Linked DNA regions of Arabidopsis thaliana. The protein of the gene in region 3 interacts with the protein of the main gene of each other region in a pairwise test. Each region holds a gene or a part of one and is shown on either strand. Other genes may lie near its edges.

Region 1 (4,763 bases), on a different chromosome or scaffold from region 3:
TACCATGTCAAGAATGGCGATAGAGAGGAGACGAAGACCTTTGTACTCCAGTTTCCGGCTGAAAATCTGAACCACAATCATCAACAAGTTGTGGAAGCTCACCATTACATTAGCTATAACAAAGAACCTGTAAAACCAAGAATCAATGTTAATAACTCAAAAACATTTTGCTTTCAATATGTATCGAATCGATTTCGTATAGGGTTTTACTCGCTTACACAAAAGCCGGTGTGTGCTGAAACTTAGCGGTTAAAGTGGCTTTAATAGGAACAGTACCAATGGTGGCCACAACCAAGGTCTTTGTCTCTTTGTTTAGTGACATTACAATGGCTGCAGCTAAAGTAGCCATGAATGCAAATATTCTCAGCCCCAAGAGTAGTTTCCAGCTCTTTGTGGTACCACCAGCCACCACAATCTTCTCTCTGGCCATTGTTGATGCAGTGAGTGATCAAGAGAAAGTGATGAAACTTTGTGTCAGTGTTAAAGAGTATTTATATGGAAAGAGTTTGGTCTTGTTGAGAGGTTTTGTCGGATCATCTAACTTTAATGTTCTTGGAGGGTACTGACTGATTAGGTTATGGTTGTTGTGACAAGATTACTGCAAAATAGATTTCCAGATTTCAAGACTTGCTCTAAGACAAGTCTTATCTACCAAAGCTAAGACCAGTTCTTGTGACATGTAGCATATCTCATCCACGGAAGAGACAGATTTCAAACCCAAATCTTAATGATTGGTTGGTGTATCAGATTATATTCATACATACATTAACAATGCCACAAGGGCCGATGGAGTTTTAGAAGTCAACAAACAGAAGAGAAGGTCAAGTTCCATGGAGCAAAAGAATGCCAAATTATTCGAGCAAAAACCTTGTGTCTTCAACTTTGAATAAACCCCAATAATGCAGTAACAAGAGATTCTGATAAGCTTTTTCTCTTGGGTTAAAAAGGAGTCAAGAGATATATAACATACAGTTTTTCCGCGTATGTAATATGCACAAACCAAACGCAGGAATAGAGGAAGAATTTGGATTTGATCTTTAAGATCTCACTCATTCTTGATTACTTTTTGTCAGTTGTCACTCCAACAACAACATTGCTCACCTGCAATTTGTGTGTTTCAGTCACTTTGTCATATCTTCCTCTAATGTGGTAAATAAGAAGAAGAACACAGGTGATAGAAATACTCACCAACTTTCCGCTTTCATCAACGGACATGGGGTTTTCTACAACAACGGTTTGGGTCTGAGAGGGTGGTGTTGACTGTTGGTAAAATGAAAAATCGATGAACAGAGTAAGTACCAGTTCCATAAGAATATACAGAACTATTACAAATTCATAATTTGATAACTCACAGTTGATGTAGAGGGGGGACAAGCTGTTCCATTTGGCCGGTTAGTTGGGAGAGGTACCCTTCCATTGCTCATCTAAGGATGCAAAATGAATCAGAAATGAAAATTTCCAACAGAAAGATCTCTATACTTAACTCAACCATGCAGAGGTGGCTTAATAGATAGGAATAATCACATTAACGTTAGTTACGAATTGACAAACAGCGCATTTGACGGATGATGCACCGTAAGGATACATGAGGGTCGTCCGACAATGCCCACAATTGATCTGCGCAACCTGACTGGAAGGAGCATGGGCAACCTGATTGGAGTGCGCTGTCGATTTCAAAAAAGACACGCACAGATTCAGAAAACAAGCAATGTTAATGCTAGAAAAATCCAAGAAATACTAATGAACGAAGTAATCAGCAATGTTCTTAAGCAGTCATGGATAAATGATAATCATACAGCTAAATGACAACAGCTTAGACGCTAATTAAAGATAAGAATCTAATGGTAGATCAAACAAAACAATAATAAACCCTACTAGCTCTAACAAGTAGTTACCTAGTCCACCGGGACCATCTAAAAGCTTTGTTTTAAGTACTTTCAGCTGCTTTACAAATCCCAGATATTTTCAGAATTCAGATTCATATACATCTTTGGGAAAAGTGGAAATACGTTACGTAAGCATCATCTCCACAGAACAATGTTATCAAACAAAAGTGTGAAAGAAGATTCTAAAGGACTAAAAGACCTTATAAAGCAATATAATACATGGTCTTTAAAAGGATTGATATGGATGTCACGATATTATTAATATACCTGGCACAAGGTTCGTAGTTTGACAGCAAGAGCATCTTACGCTACTAGCCCCACGCGTATACATAAGCATTGTTCTACAACCACCACATATAATGTGTGCCATGTCTGTATTCAGAATCAGAACCCAAGTTATAATACAATTGCAGAGCATATTAACCTCATCCTCAATTCAAATTCAACAAAGAAATCGATACCGTGAGGTGGAGGAGGAGGAGGAACCATGTTGATAGTGTTACATAACGCACAACGCACATTAGATGCTCCTCTAGGATACATCAATAAATTCCTACAACCATGACACACCAGCTGGTCCTGCATATCTGCTACTTTCATCCAAACACACACAAATTGCTTCAAAACAAGACCCACACAGATGAAACCCTAAACATTTCACAATACTTAGTCATTGCAAGGAAGCAATTGGAGATTCAAATACCTAAAAACTCACCTGATTAACAAAAAGAGCTGATTTTGGAACGAAACCCAAATCCAATTCAAAGCCAAAAACTTCTGCATCCAAATCAAAACAAGAATTGTGTGTTGAATCAAACAAACAAACAAGGACAATGATGAGATTACAGAATTGGCGAAAATTGAAAAAAAGGAACAAACTTTGGAGCTTGTTCTTACCGATTGGAGAAGGGTAAGGAATCGAATCCAAAACCCGCGAAAGCTAGAGCGATGATATGCAGAAAATCCAATCCAAATTGAGGAGATAGACAATAGATTTCGATTTTTCTCTCTCTCTATCTCCAAAATCTCAATGCCCGGATTTATCTCTCTGTTTTTCGTAATTTACGCTTCTTTTTTTTTTACATGACGCGTAAGGGTTTTTTTCTCGGTCATAAACGCGTATATACAAACGCAGCGATTGGCTTCTGCTAATTAAATATGAATTTTTATGCCAAGCATACGTCCATAGATCAATTAATTATGGGTAAAAATATATTTTCTAATTTTCTGCAAATGGTGTAATAATATTAAATTATTTTTTGTCTACCCCTTTGAACCAATGAAAATTCTATAATATTTGTGTGTTAAATGAAAAATCGTACATGCTGCCAAACAAAAAATTCATAATAAATAAATGAAAATCGCATATAAACTTTAATCAAATGTTCTGAACATAACGTCCCACGTATGTTTTCGTTTGCTTATTCATATCGGAAGAAGAGTAATTTGCGCATTTCATATTACAAATTGGGGAAATGGACAATAAATTGGAGAGCAAAAATCATAGCCATCTAACCTCACACACTTTTCTTTTTGTTAGGTACCAGAAATATCAAGAATCACTGAGCTAATTGTATTCTCATGACTTTTTGTGGTCAGCAAATGAAACTGGTCTGCAATAGTTTTTAGAAGTCTTTATCGGTTTATTTCTCATGTGTTTTGTCAGAAATTTCTTAGAAATTTTTGTCTTCCAAACTTGGGGAACTAAATTTGTTTGGAGTGTAAGAATACACGGTTGAGCTTTTAGGTAATACACTTGTTTTTGAAAGGTATAATGAATTTTAAAAAAATTACTTTATCAACATTTAAGATTTGGAGACAATTTTGAAATCACGTTTGAAAACGAATTTTTTGGCCAATTGTTCACTTTTCTGTCGTTATTATACTTCTGTTACCTTGTGTCTATTTGTTAATTTACTTGTTTTATTTGATTTACTCCATTGTTTTAAAAGTTTTACTGGTTTGTTTTGTTAAATTGATATTTTTGATGGTATTAATTAAGTTTAGTACTACATTAAGAAAAGAAAAAAAAGAGTCTAGTACGTATGTACACACCAACCAGATATGTGAACAATTATGGCGTCAATTTATCTGGAGCATATATACTTTTATATGATGGTTTAGGTTGAAGGAGTTATTCTAAAATGCATTAACATCATACATAATCGGTGTAATGTAGTGTCCTTAACTATTTAAATGAGTGACATGTGACGCAAAATGCGTGACGTACGCAAATATGCAGCATATTATATGCTTGTGACATTATTTTAAATAGTTCATGAAGTTACAATGATAAGTCAGAATAAATTACATACTAGTGGCTAGCAAGAAACAAGTGGATGATGTATAATTTGGAATATGATTATTTCTGTTTTATACTGGTGGGTTTTGGAATAAGAATACTATAAATTTAGAAAAAAGGAAAGAAAAAAAAAACATGAATTATAAGTGATATACGTACGTTGAACGAGTTGTAGATTCTCGAAACTATACACGAAAAGACCCTGGTAATGATTTCATTGGAGAGAATAAAGCTAAATAGCTAATTATTGCAATTCCCAAAACGTTATATAAAGAATAGCAAGTAAGGGTTCATAAGGTAAGAAGCAAAACATTTGATTGAGATACTTGAGATCCAAGATAAATATGTCTTTAAGTCGTAGAGATCCTCTTGTGGTCGGCAGTGTTGTTGGAGATGTTCTTGATCCTTTCACGAGGTTGGTCTCTCTTAAGGTCACTTATGGCCATAGAGAGGTTACTAATGGCTTGGATCTAAGGCCTTCTCAAGTTCTGAACAAACCAATAGTGGAGATTGGAGGAGACGACTTCAGAAATTTCTACACCTTGGTGATCTTCTCTCCTTCATTCCTCTTATCT
Region 2 (4,448 bases), 9.9 Mb from region 3:
TTCGGATGTCTAGCCACTACTTCCAATCTCATCTTATCCCATCTCATGTAAAGTGTTGCTTCTTTATATAACTTCTCCATAAGAAACCAAAGTTTTCTTTCCGAAAGATATTATAGCCAAAAATCGACAAATTATGGACAAAAATTCATACCTTCACACTATTGATCTGAAAAGAAAGAGACTTGCTCTGCTTTCAACTTCCTTCATTTAGACCAACAAGAGTGTCTTCATCTACTAATCTAATGTCCTATTCTTTTTTACTTATTAAAGACTACATCACACTCAAGTTCGGTGGATCTCCTACACTCTTGTTTAAAGTAGACAGTTATTTGACACTAGACATCAAATTCTCTTTTGCTCCTTTTTCATAAAATCTTGAAATCTAGTATTGAGGAAGATTCTATGAAAAGAAGTCAAAAACCATTTCTCTGATATTTATATAGGGATCCGTGGATCATGGGCCAAAACTCTTACTAAGTATCAGAGCTTGCATCCACTAAACAAATTTTAAAAGAAACCCATAATTCTAAACTCTAAACTCCAAAAGAAGCAACACATGCAAACCCTGTCTATGGAAAGTGACTCTTCATCTATGGGGCCAAAAGAAGAGACTAAGAAACACAAGAGAAATGATTGTTTCAAATTCCATTTGCTAGTCAAAAGAAAGTTTATAACCACAGAGATTGGGAAGATAATACTTCTAATAAACGCTAAACCAAACAATATGATGATTGATGTAGATGGATAGAGCACTGTTCCTCTTTGGGATTGGCAAACAAAATGAGATATTTCTTGGGGAAAGCATTAAACCCACATGGAATAAAGGGCAAACAAAAGACTTTAGCTTCAAGTGGGGTTAAAGGTTTCCAACACAAGAACATAAATAAAGGACAAGTAATTGTAGAACAAGTTACAACAAACAAGATGTGAGCTCATGTAGCTAGAGCTAAACATTGTAAAACAGAATTGAACTTACAGAACGTTCTCTAATTGATACAAGATGAATTCAAATTAACCAAGGCCTAGGCTTTTAAAGACTTAAGAAGAACCTGAAACTGTTGATCAGATTTATAGGCCATTTGGATATTCGAAACACACAACAACGAAAACCGCCTTCACTATTCCACGCATTCGAAGCGCCCTGAAACGTTAAAAACAATGTAAGTTATCAATTTGATGAATGGTTAAAAGACAAGACTTTCACAAATGGGTGTTGTTTTCGAAAAACTTCAAACCTGGAATATGAAAAGAAACCTGTTGTGTTGCACAATCTTATGTGTTTTTGGAACTTGTTTAATGGCGAGAATCGGATGAAGCAGAGGACGGCTTGTTGTCGCCGCCGTGCTCCTCTTGTTCGCCTTGAAACCGTGCTGGTATACGAAAACCGGAGAATTCACCACTTGAAGCAAATGCAATGCCTGGAATAGCAGATTGGTGAATCCCGGGAGGGATATGGTAGGGATGATGATGGTGGAGATCGTCAGTGGTCATGGACTGCTGATGATGATGATGATGATGGTGAGGATCAAACCAAGCACGAATCATAGGTGTGTTAATGGACTGAAGGGGACCCCTCTGTGATAAAAGCTGACTTTGGCTATAAACTGGATGCAACGACGACGGAGAAGCAAACACAAATCCTCCGGTACTTCCGGCGGATTCAGCTGCTCCGACGTTGTTCCATGACACTAGTCTCTGTATCTTTCCAAATTCCGGTGACTGATGACTCTGTTCCCAGCTTGCCGTCGATGAGTCAAACGCTAACTGATTATTGCTCTGGCCGGAGAACAGAGCAGGTTCTGTTTGATTAGGAAAAGGTGGACCATTTTGGAAAGATTGAAGCGAGAGACGAAGAAGATCTTGGTTCTGTGTATTGCCTCGTGACGGTGGCTGATGATGATAGCTCTGTTGCGTTGAAGCTACCGGAAAAAACGACTTTATAGTGTCAGCTATCGAATCAGAATCCATTGACGCCGGAAGAAAACTCGATTCGTTATCTTCTTCTTCTCCGATTCGATGATGCTCTGTTTCTTCCGGTTGTGGCGGTGGCGGAGAAATTAAAGTTTTGGTTTTTCTGGGTTTAGCGTTAGCAGCAGCGGCGGCGTGTTGACGAAGAGTATCGGCGGGGTTCCAAGGAGGAAGCTGAGCAAGATCATCAATGGCGGATTTAGCTTTAGTAATAAGCCAATCAACAGCTTTACTTGGTCGATCAAAACCAAGTCTATCTTGAACATCGTAGAATTGAATCGCCGTCGGAGCTGAGAGTCTCACGCGCCGGTCACGTGGTCCTTTCGCTGTACATACTTTACTATGTCTGTCTTTTCTTCCTGTTGACCGAACAATGTGACCTCCTTGTACCTCCACAATCTCGCCGCAACCACCACCGTTCTCCGTCGCTGATTGGTGGTGTCTCATCTCTAGAAGAGGCGGCGACGGAGAATCTAAGAAATGGTCGTTATCTGGTGCCATTGATGAAGCATATTGTGGAAATTCAAGGTCGTTGATGGTGGTGGTGGTTGGATTATGACGGCGGCGGCGACGGCGGTCGTTAACCGCCGAGGAATCCAGAGTCGTTCGATTTATTTAATTCAACATTTTGCCTCTCCTCCAAATCCCAAACCCTAAACACGCCAACAAATCAAAGATGAAGAAGAAGAAGAAGAAGAAGACGTAATTGAATTTTGCAGACTAACCCATGACTAAATTTCTCTTCTTTTGTCTAAAGATTGTTTCTTTTTTAGAATTTGTCTCTGTTTCTGAGAATTCAAGAAGCAAAAACAGAGGAAGCAAGAAGAGAGAGAAGAGATAGAGAGATGTGGAATTGACTAAACGAGAATCCAGGAAAGCTCTTTTTAATTTTTTGTTTCTGGCCGGAAAATTTACAGTAACGGTAAAAAAAGGAAGAGATTTTGGGGTTTGGGGAAGAGAGGGAAATGGTAATGGAAGGAGTGTGTTTGGTCATAAAAAGAGCTCTCTGATACTCATCATCATCACTTGTGCTTTTATTTCATTTTTAAAGTGTTTTCTTATTTTATATTATATATTTTATGGTTTTTCTAAATGAAAAACAAAAAGCTTTTGTCCGATTCATCATGTGGAAATATTTTACATGACATTTCGAATTGTATTAGCTATATACATTACAATGGATATATTTTGGTAGAGGTTACTGTAAGAATATCAACACATATACATAGTCCTCTTAGGTTTGGTTCTGACTACCACTATTTTTTTTTGTTAAAGATGATAGAAACTATAAGCACTAATAAACCCAAATTTTACCAAGTCAAAGATTGTTCTGTACTGTGTTAGAAAATATTAATACAGAACTTTTGAGGTAGTAAAGGTTTTGGGTTGTTGGAAAAAAAGACAATACAAGAAGATTTCTTTTATAATAAAAACTAAAAAGTAAAGCTTTTAGATCTGTTGGAGAGTTGGAGACACTAATAATTGGGCGGTATAAACTAATATTGATGGTATTATTTTAAACAAATAAAGTATTATTTTCATCGAATCAAATTGTATTGGTTTTAGAGGTTACACCCTGTAAAATGCATCACCAGTATCCGTAGGATTCGACAGTATCCCTATAATCAACCATTGTCTATGCTCCTTTCCACTATCTGTTCTCGAACTCCACTGTTCGTCAATCCCACTTTTAATTAACCAAACGTAGTAAAGTTTCAGATGGAAAACGAAAATAATAGAGATACATACTTGTACATAGTTTTAGTTTAAAATTAACTTGAATTTCCTTTAAACAAAGATAAAAATGTGTATATATACGTAATTTGGTAACTCAATCAGTTTTTTTTTTCTTTTTTGTTAACAAGGAAATCCCGAGCATTTGACATACTAATACAAGTATGGTATGTGATTAAATATGAACATTTTAGGTGTGATTCATGTAGAGATTTCAAGAGAGATATAAGAAGAAATATGTGATTGTAGATAGGAGATTTATGTTTTTTGTAAGTGCGTTTCCTACTCATCGAGCCAATCTGCATTGAATCCATAATTTTTTCTTTTACCTTCCCAAGAGAAGAAATTATCAAAACATCGTTCTACGACATGCAACATCAAATTTAAAGGCACGAAATATCGCACGGTTCACTGGTTTAGGACACAATCAATTATTGTTTTCCATTTTTTTGTCATTACCACAAATTCTCTTTCTAACTACTTCTCCATTATACACACCGACCATGCATGTACTGTATTTTTAATTAAATACCCGTAGTCATACGAACTTTTCTGATATATAATGTATTTGGTACCATATTCTTGATCATCAAATAATGACAATGCACACATAAAAAGATGACGTATCGATATGTAAGGCAAAGATGGAATCAAATTTCAAATAAATGTTTCCCATTGCACCTACTCAACCAAGTGTAGTCTAAATAAATTTACGAATATACCCTATAGGCTTTTAGTGTTTTTCG
Region 3 (3,882 bases):
CCGCAGAAACACATGCAGAGGTTCGTCGTCATAGCGAACATATGTTTAAATTCAGATTATACAACTGGTTTATTAGGCCTAAAACATAAATTTTTTGTTAGGTTCTAAATATTTCTTAAATTATAAAATTTGTCGCTAAACTCTTTTTGTCTTTCTCTTGCTAAAAGCTACATGAGGTCGATTACAAATCGCTTATGAAATACGATAAAAAGAAGTTGCAACGAAACTGTTAGAATTTGATCTTTTATGAAAGCAATATGCATAATGCATGATCTTTGTTTAGTCAATACATATGTCTAAGTGTCTAACACATGTAACAGTTCTATGACTGTTTTATAGTCTCATAAAACTACACGATTCCGGTTCTACATATAAAACATAAACATAAAATCTTCACAATCTGCATGAAAGTTTTGATTTCGCTACGTGAGATCTCCTTTAGTTAATTAATTTGACTTCTTATGATATTTGATTATATCAAACATGTTTGTTTCATTTACTACTGAAATTTGCGTTATTTTAAGACTTCTGTAGATAAATTTGTTATGTGAATTTGATATTTATCTATATAGGACCGTCAAAAATTTTATTTATTTTATATTTTTAGATGCTTCTATATATATATGTATACACGCATAACATATATAAGATTGGTAAACATGAGCAGAAAAATTATAGGACAATTAAACTTCCTCTAATTTTATCAGAAAACTTTTGTTCGAATTCATATGAAAATTTTCAAAATAAATAAAAAAATACAATTTATTTACAAACTCAAGACTCATAATACACATATCTTGTCCGTAAGTGAATAAGCCAGTCCAAACTCACACGCTTGCTCAGCATTTACGTCTCTCATTAGTCTCTATCTCTTTTGTTTGTTTCCTTCTTTTCTCAGTCCGTCTTTTGTCGTGATTTAAGAGAGAGGCGCGTGAGTCAAACAGGACACTAGCAAAGCAAACAGCTGCACAAGTCAGTCCGTACTTCACGACACGCCATAGAATACGATAAGATTTTTAAAACCCCCTCGAAACCGACATAAGCGACGGTCGTAACACGATCCACAAACATAATTAGATCCACGTTCAGACGTTGTTAAGTTTTTGTGTTGCTAATTAAGAAGTTTCTTGTTTTTTCCGCAACATATGGATCTCACAACAACAATCGATCTCCGACTCTTACATAACGAACAAAAGAAGGATTAAATTATAAAAACAAGTCTACTAACTCTAACAAAAAGATACTATTTGCTAAAAAAAGAAACTAAAGTAGTTCCACCGAAAGTGGTCTCAAACGGCGCCGTATAGAAAAGTAGGCAAAACGGCGCCGCTATATCCATCTTTATCGTTTGTTTTCAAAGCCAAAGCGGCGGAGGCTCGTTGAGGTCAATGGCTAAGCCACGTCTCACCGTAACAGGGGAAGGAGAAGAATTCATCATCGGAAACCCAACCACTTGATAACCAGGCGATGACGTGGCTGTGTTAGGCGAGGAGGTGAAGTAAAGCGGCGCTTCTGTAGAAGAGTAATCTGAAGTTTTGTCGTTTAGCACACCGGTTCGGAGAAAAATGCGGTGGTGTTGGTGATGATGGTCGGAGCTTGGAGGAACAGGAGGAGGCGCAGCGAACCAGAGCTGTTGGTGTTGGTGGGGTTGGTTATTTGCGGCGGCGGTTGCGGCTGAGGGAGCGGAAGGGAGGTGGTTGAGGTCGAGAGAGAGAGGAGAAGGGAAGTTAGTTTTGGCTTTGATACCACGGAGGAAACGAGCAGCGCCGTCGTAAGCAAGAGCAGCTTCTTCGGGAGTGTCGAAAGTGCCTAACCAAACCCTAGTTTTCTTCCAAGGATCTCGTATCTCAGCAGCGTAGCGACCCCAAGGTCTCTTTCTGACTCCTCTGTAATGCACCTCTCTTGCACACGTCGTTGACGCCATTGTTAGACTCTCAAGAGGGGAAATATGAGAGAATCTAGAGAGAAAGTGGAGAAGAGAAGAAAGAGGTTTTGCTTTGTTGGCTCGTTTGACCCAAATGAGAGAGAGAGTGAGTGAGTTTAAAGAGCAAGAGGTGTGTTTGTAGGGCCGCTTGAGAACACCCGTAATCCTCGGCTTCTTTTGACGATTATCTATCTTTATTTGTTGCCTATACGTAATATATATGGCAAGTTAATAGTAAAAACAAAACTGAATAGTGTTTGATTTCTAGGATCGAGGTTTTCTCTGGGGTTTGCAAGAATCAAGCACCGTTCGATCTTTTGCTGTTGGGTGATGTGACGGTGGTATGCTGAGAGATTGTTACACGTGGGTGTTCTACACCAAAATAATGTTGTTTTAATAAGTTGATGTATTTGAAAAAATACAATAGGATTTCTCATAAAGTGAATACTTCTAGTGGTGAGTGGACTTATTCTAGGACATGAAAGAAAACAATGCTAATCATTCCTTTGAGTGCTAATACTGTTTTCTTATCTACCATTTACAACTTCTGTTATATAAAAAAGATTTGTTAGGTAATGGTTAGAAATAAAATATTTTAGTTCTACTCTCCAAACAACCTCATTACCGTTGTAACTTATGGTAAATTAACTCATTACTTGCTAGTGACGATAATGCCATACTATGAAATTTATGCTATTATAAAAAGAAGATAGAAAGATCATTTTTGCATAGGCTCTCCAAACATTTTTTCATAATTCAAGTACTTTGTTTTCGATCGTAACAATCTCGATGCTTTTTCTCACAGCAACCATTGATACAAAATGATCAAAGAAAAAAGAACTAAAAATAAATAATCTTGTACATTTACGAAGAGGAAAGAAAAATGGGCCGCCTCTTTGACTGAACCTGTGGCATAGGGATGCTGACGTAATCCCTAGTACTGATAATAGCCATCTCTCTCTATCTTTTGTATCTTTCACTCTATTATTTGACAAGTATTTAAATGCTCTCTTTTGGGGTTTTATTGGCACCCATATATATTTATGATGCACGAGGACAAGGCTACAAGGAGATCATTAAATAAAGTTACTTGACACAACTACTCTATCTTTAGCTCTGACTGATTTTGTTTTTCTTTTTGTCCAAAATTCATTAGCCCATCTTATGCAAACTTACTATACTCTCTAGTCTATACTAATAGAGTAGATTACATAGGCTCTTTCTTTTCCCTCTAAAAAGTGACGTAGTTTAAGTCTTTATATTGTGTAAAATATATAGTAATCATAGGAGTCAAAAATTTATAGCAATTGAAGTGGCTTATAATTTTCAGTAATAGACAATGAATTAAAACAAATTAGTTAGAGGTTTTTTGTTTTTGTTTTATCAACTGAAGTTTTATTAGATTAATTTGTCTTTTAACTTCTCTATTTCTTGACATTTTGTAAGATGTTTTTGTTTGGTTTTAGGGTTATTTAAAAATAAATAAAAAAATCTGTGTTTCCTTTCACGTGACAAGGCTTAGGGTCTGTCGTTTTGATTGAACAAATGCATTGGTCCATATCTAACAAAATTTATACACGTGCGAACTCTGATGTCTGACTTCTCTCTCTCTGACATATCTAATTATTTAAATTAACCCTACCTATAAGCACAGTAAAAAAAAGAGAGATACCCCAAAGCTATATAAGCTACTACAGTACTAATAATCATTTTCAAGAAATATTTTGGAGAAAAATGTGAATGTGGCTTTCGTGTTCACGTGAGCCTGTGATACATAAGAGCTTTATGACGTGTCTTTGTAGTAGCAGCTAGGACAAAAGGAGCATCGTCATCAAGTGGTACTGACTGGCTGCCTCCTACAAAAACAGAACACAACTCAACACTCACACGAAATCATGACTTTGATGTCTCTCTGCTTACGTGTCTTCTTCTCATTCCATGAACCCCCTCCTCCTCTC
Region 4 (4,105 bases), 1.3 Mb from region 3:
AAAAAACGATTTTATATATATCAACATAGCTCTAACAAGAACATGATAATCGCAAATATACATAGATTTGCCTATTTGTACACAAGCAAAGTTAGTTTTAATACTCAGTATATTACATCTCATGAAAAGAATTTACAGTTTTTTCTATTAAAGCTGTGGGAGTTTTCTTCTAAAATGTTTTTTTTTGTCGTCCTTGTAAAATGTTCTACATTCGTCATTTTCAGGCTATCTTTGATTTCGAAAGCTGTGGGCGTTTTCTTTTTTTAATTTTTTTAATTTTTTTTTTTTTTTGTCTTTTTCTACGAAAATAAAATAGCGTGCACTGTATTGTTTCTTTCAACTTTATTTTTTGACTAGTGAAAGACTAGACATTTTGTTGCCCTGCCCCTATATTTTTTGTGTTTATTTTAAGGTTGTTTTTTCTCTTTTTATAATGACCGTAAAATGAGTTTTTACAAAATCTGCTTCAAATATGTAATGAAAACCTTGATAATATGTAAATGTACTAAAAACAAAATCTTGATATGGGTACATGTGAAAATAGTATATTTCTGTTCTAAGAATATACTGTTTTATGTTCTAAAATATCAACAAATAGATATCTTTGCATTTTTTTTTATACATCAATATTAGTATTACCTACATTGTCTAAGAGATGTAACCCAACTTATGTCGCAACTAGAACTACATCTCAGAAATCACCGAGCCGAGAGAAAATTGTAAGAGTCCTCGACCAGCAAAACGTAGGAACATCAACTCAAAGCAGTCGAGAATAAGAACCACTGACTTGCATCAAAACAGAAGATCTAACCACACCACACAGAATCCGAAAAGAAGACATCCACCATCGTTTAAACTTTCAACCCTTGACCCAACCACCGGTGATAAAGACTTGTCCATTATAGTTTACTAAAGTTTATGATCAAACTTAAAATATCTGTTGTTAGATTGATACCTCTAATTCCTTTGAATTGCTTCTTAGATTTCCACTTTACCCTTCCACGATTTTTAAGCAATGGAAAATTAAGTTTCATTTGTTTCAGATTTTAATATTAATCCCCTTCTATGCAAATTGAGGGACCACGTAGAAAGTTGTGAGAATCTCAATACACAAAAGATATAGAAACAATGATTACATGCACAAGCACGAGGCCATAAATTTCCTTATCCTATACACATTTTCAATAAAGATGTAACATTCCAAACAGAAAACCCTCTTGTAGCTCACTCTACAAAAAAAAGAGTATAGAATTCCAATATTAAAGTTTATAGGTCGACTATTTCAAAACCAATTGCTATAAAGTAAATTGATTAATATTTTTATACTCTCTTCGATTTATAATATAAGTTGTTTTGGACCAATTTTTTTGTTTTACAATTAAATTGTTTTTAAGTTTTTATGCAAACTATATATTTATTTTAATATTTTATAATTATTTATATTATGCAGTCTCTTTTGTGATTGGTTGAACTTTTTAAAAGTAAATATTCTTAATCTTCGTACTTTTAGGTAAAACAACTTATATTGTGAAACGGAGGGAGTATATCATTTACAATTTCTCTTTATTTAGTTTTGTGGTGATTCCGAATATTAATTACAACTTGTACCATTTAATTCAACCATATTCGAAGAAAACATTAAAGGCAAAACAAATTAAGGGGAAAAAGAAATCAAAAGTTAAAAAAAAAAATTAAGACCAATGAGAATAGATAAGGGGTAAAAGACAAAAAGAGAATATAAAAAAAACAAATAGCATTTGGCGCCAAAAGTAAAACTAAAATGGTCATGTCACGTGATGTTAATTTTTGCTCTACGACCAAAGCAAAACAAACCTAAAGTTTTCCAAATCTCTGGGTCCCACTCTCAGATGTGCTGACTTTTATTTTTTTTACTTTTGTCTTAAATCTTTGGAAATTTTCAGTTTTAATTTAATTTAATTCATCTCTCTTTCTCACTCTATAAATCCCCACAGATCCGTCACACTTCACCTAGAGACCCTCCCACAGCTTTCTCGATAACTGACAATCCAACGGTTGAGATTCAGTTCTTCTAGATAAATTCACATATCCAAAGGACACGTGGCGGCGAGAGATGAAAGAAAGTAGCCGGAAGCAAGGAGCTGCGTCACCGTGTGCTGCGTGTAAGCTTTTGCGGCGGCGGTGCGCTCAAGATTGCGTTTTCTCGCCGTATTTTCCGGCCGATGAGCCTCAGAAATTTGCTAATGTTCATAGAGTGTTCGGTGCTAGCAACGTCAACAAGATGCTTCAGGTTTCTTTCTTCTTGTTCTTCTTAAGAATATCTAAAACGTGCTTACTCATATGTTGGGTTAGGTTTAATTAGGATGATTTTCTTGTTTCTTATTTTAGATGAGACATTACTATCATTTCCATAACTTTTTATTGACAACTACCACATGGGCCGACCCGTTTATATTATAAGTTTAGGGATTTAAAAACAAAATTGTTGAATTTTAAGAATTTAGGAATATGTTACATTTATTAGCTGATGTTGAATTTTAACCATATTAACTTTTGTTAGCTAATGTTAATGATATGATTTACATTTCTTAGCTAGCTGATGTAGAGTCTACATTTGAGATGGATTATATAAATTTTATATAGTCTTGCGAGATTAATTGGTCTAGTGGCTGACAAAATGTTTTAAAAACTCAACAGGAATTACCAATCCACCAGCGAGGGGACGCTGTGAGCAGCATGGTTTACGAGGCTAATGCAAGAGTGCGGGATCCGGTTTACGGTTGCGTTGGGGCAATTTCGTCCCTCCAGCAACAGATAGATGTGTTGCAAGCTCAGCTAGCTCTAGCTCAAGCTGAGGTGGTGCATCTACGTGTACGCCAGTCGACTAATTTCCCAGGGCACGGACTATGCCCGGATAGTCCGAGTAGCAGCGGGTCACCGTCTTCGAAGCAAGTGAGTCCACAGGACAACAAGGGCATGTTTAGCCATATGGACATTGTGGATGAAGCCAGTTTGGGAGAGTCTATGTGGTCTTGCTAGTCAATAATGCTCTCTTTCTGCTACTGCAATTTCCTCTTCCTTTTTTGGGAAATTTCGGGATTATTATATATTAAATTTAGGGGTAGGATATGAAAATGCTCTGTTTTGACTACAGAGTGAAATTATTAACATGATATAGATACATAAAAATACTAAATATATTTATATATTATAAATCTCTCTCTATATATTTATTAGTATTTGTAACTTTGTAATTCCGGGGTATTTGGGATTTGGTGTATGTGTAGGACCTTTGGATCATGATCCGGTAGGGTTATTTTGATCATTTCCAACCGAGGAGGGATCTTTGTTATTGACCTAATGTAAATTTGTGAGATATATTATTTATCTATATCTATATACAATTATGATCATGTAACCCATGGTGTGTGCTTGACTCTGTGAGCATATTATCGTGTAATGGTCATCTTTGATACTAGCTAAGTCTAGCTTAGCAATTAGCACTAAGCACTTGTATGGGCCTGAATTTTTATTATGCAAACTTATGGCCCATTTGTCTTTATTTTTTGGTTTCCTTGCAAACATTTGCCATTTGATAGTCGCTGATAGAATCGCTCGCATATGAAGGAAACAGAAAGACCGGACCGGAGCATGTGCTTGTGGTAAGAAATTTACAGTGAGCTTAAGAAGAAACACAAGTAATTTAGTCTATTATAGTTCAAGAGCTTCTCCTGCATTCATGCAAATGCAAGAGTGGTAAAATAGCATTATACTAAGTAAATTTGGTTATGCTCCTGTGCGTTATATCAGGATATTCCCTTCAAGCAATTGAGCTTCACATAGCAATCACTAGACCGCAAAATCACAATCTGTCAATCACCATTTTAGCCATAATTCTTTCTACTTGCGCAATCCAAATTTTATAAGGTTTTCGACAATGCATTGTTTTTCAATAAGTACAATGGAAAACAAAGAGATTAGAGAGAGTAACACAAAAGCAGAAAACAAGTTCCCTTTTTAAACATCCTTAGCAATGAGATCACCATTGAGAAACTCTCTGTAGGCAGCAACGGGCCAAATGAAACCACGGAAGATGATCCGACTAGCCAAAGGAACATCGATGATG

What was found.
Region 1: the proteins of ERF12 (region 3) and LSD1 interact in binary tests that used the Arabidopsis thaliana proteins (3 or more experiments, as listed by UniProt).
Region 2: the proteins of ERF12 (region 3) and TCP3 interact in binary tests that used the Arabidopsis thaliana proteins (3 or more experiments, as listed by UniProt).
Region 4: the proteins of ERF12 (region 3) and LBD4 interact in binary tests that used the Arabidopsis thaliana proteins (3 or more experiments, as listed by UniProt).

The regions. Positions count from the first base shown.
Region 1 is NC_003075.7:11,002,735-11,007,497, reverse strand, and holds LSD1 (LSD1 zinc finger family protein), read right to left. Parts: upstream 2,982-4,763; 5' UTR 2,784-2,981; intron 2,664-2,783; 5' UTR 2,602-2,663; exon of another isoform or gene 2,487-2,601; coding exon of another isoform or gene 2,472-2,486; coding exon 2,348-2,471; intron 2,259-2,347; coding exon 2,154-2,258; intron 2,069-2,153; coding exon 2,037-2,068; intron 1,942-2,036; coding exon 1,896-1,941; intron 1,665-1,895; coding exon 1,525-1,664; coding exon of another isoform or gene 1,504-1,524; exon of another isoform or gene 1,425-1,503; coding exon 1,353-1,424; intron 1,261-1,352; coding exon 1,189-1,260; intron 1,102-1,188; coding exon 1,060-1,101; 3' UTR 710-1,059; downstream 1-709. Other genes in the region: AT4G20390 (Uncharacterized protein family (UPF0497)), read right to left, coding at 4-127, 219-430; TSF (PEBP (phosphatidylethanolamine-binding protein) family protein), read left to right, coding at 4,533-4,733.
Region 2 is NC_003070.9:19,848,967-19,853,414, forward strand, and holds TCP3 (TEOSINTE BRANCHED 1, cycloidea and PCF transcription factor 3), read right to left. Parts: upstream 2,760-4,448; 5' UTR 2,470-2,759; coding exon 1,294-2,469; 3' UTR 1,236-1,293; exon of another isoform or gene 1,235-1,235; intron 1,142-1,234; 3' UTR 822-1,141; downstream 1-821. UniProt on the Arabidopsis thaliana protein: Plays a pivotal role in the control of morphogenesis of shoot organs by negatively regulating the expression of boundary-specific genes such as CUC genes, probably through the induction of miRNA (e.g. miR164). Participates in ovule development.
Region 3 is NC_003070.9:9,949,976-9,953,857, reverse strand, and holds ERF12 (ERF domain protein 12), read right to left. Parts: upstream 2,097-3,882; 5' UTR 1,925-2,096; coding exon 1,355-1,924; 3' UTR 753-1,354; downstream 1-752.
Region 4 is NC_003070.9:11,211,015-11,215,119, forward strand, and holds LBD4 (LOB domain-containing protein 4), read left to right. Parts: upstream 1-1,943; 5' UTR 1,944-2,092; coding exon 2,093-2,269; intron 2,270-2,676; coding exon 2,677-3,018; 3' UTR 3,019-3,553; downstream 3,554-4,105. Other genes in the region: PSAF (photosystem I subunit F), read right to left, coding at 3,997-4,105.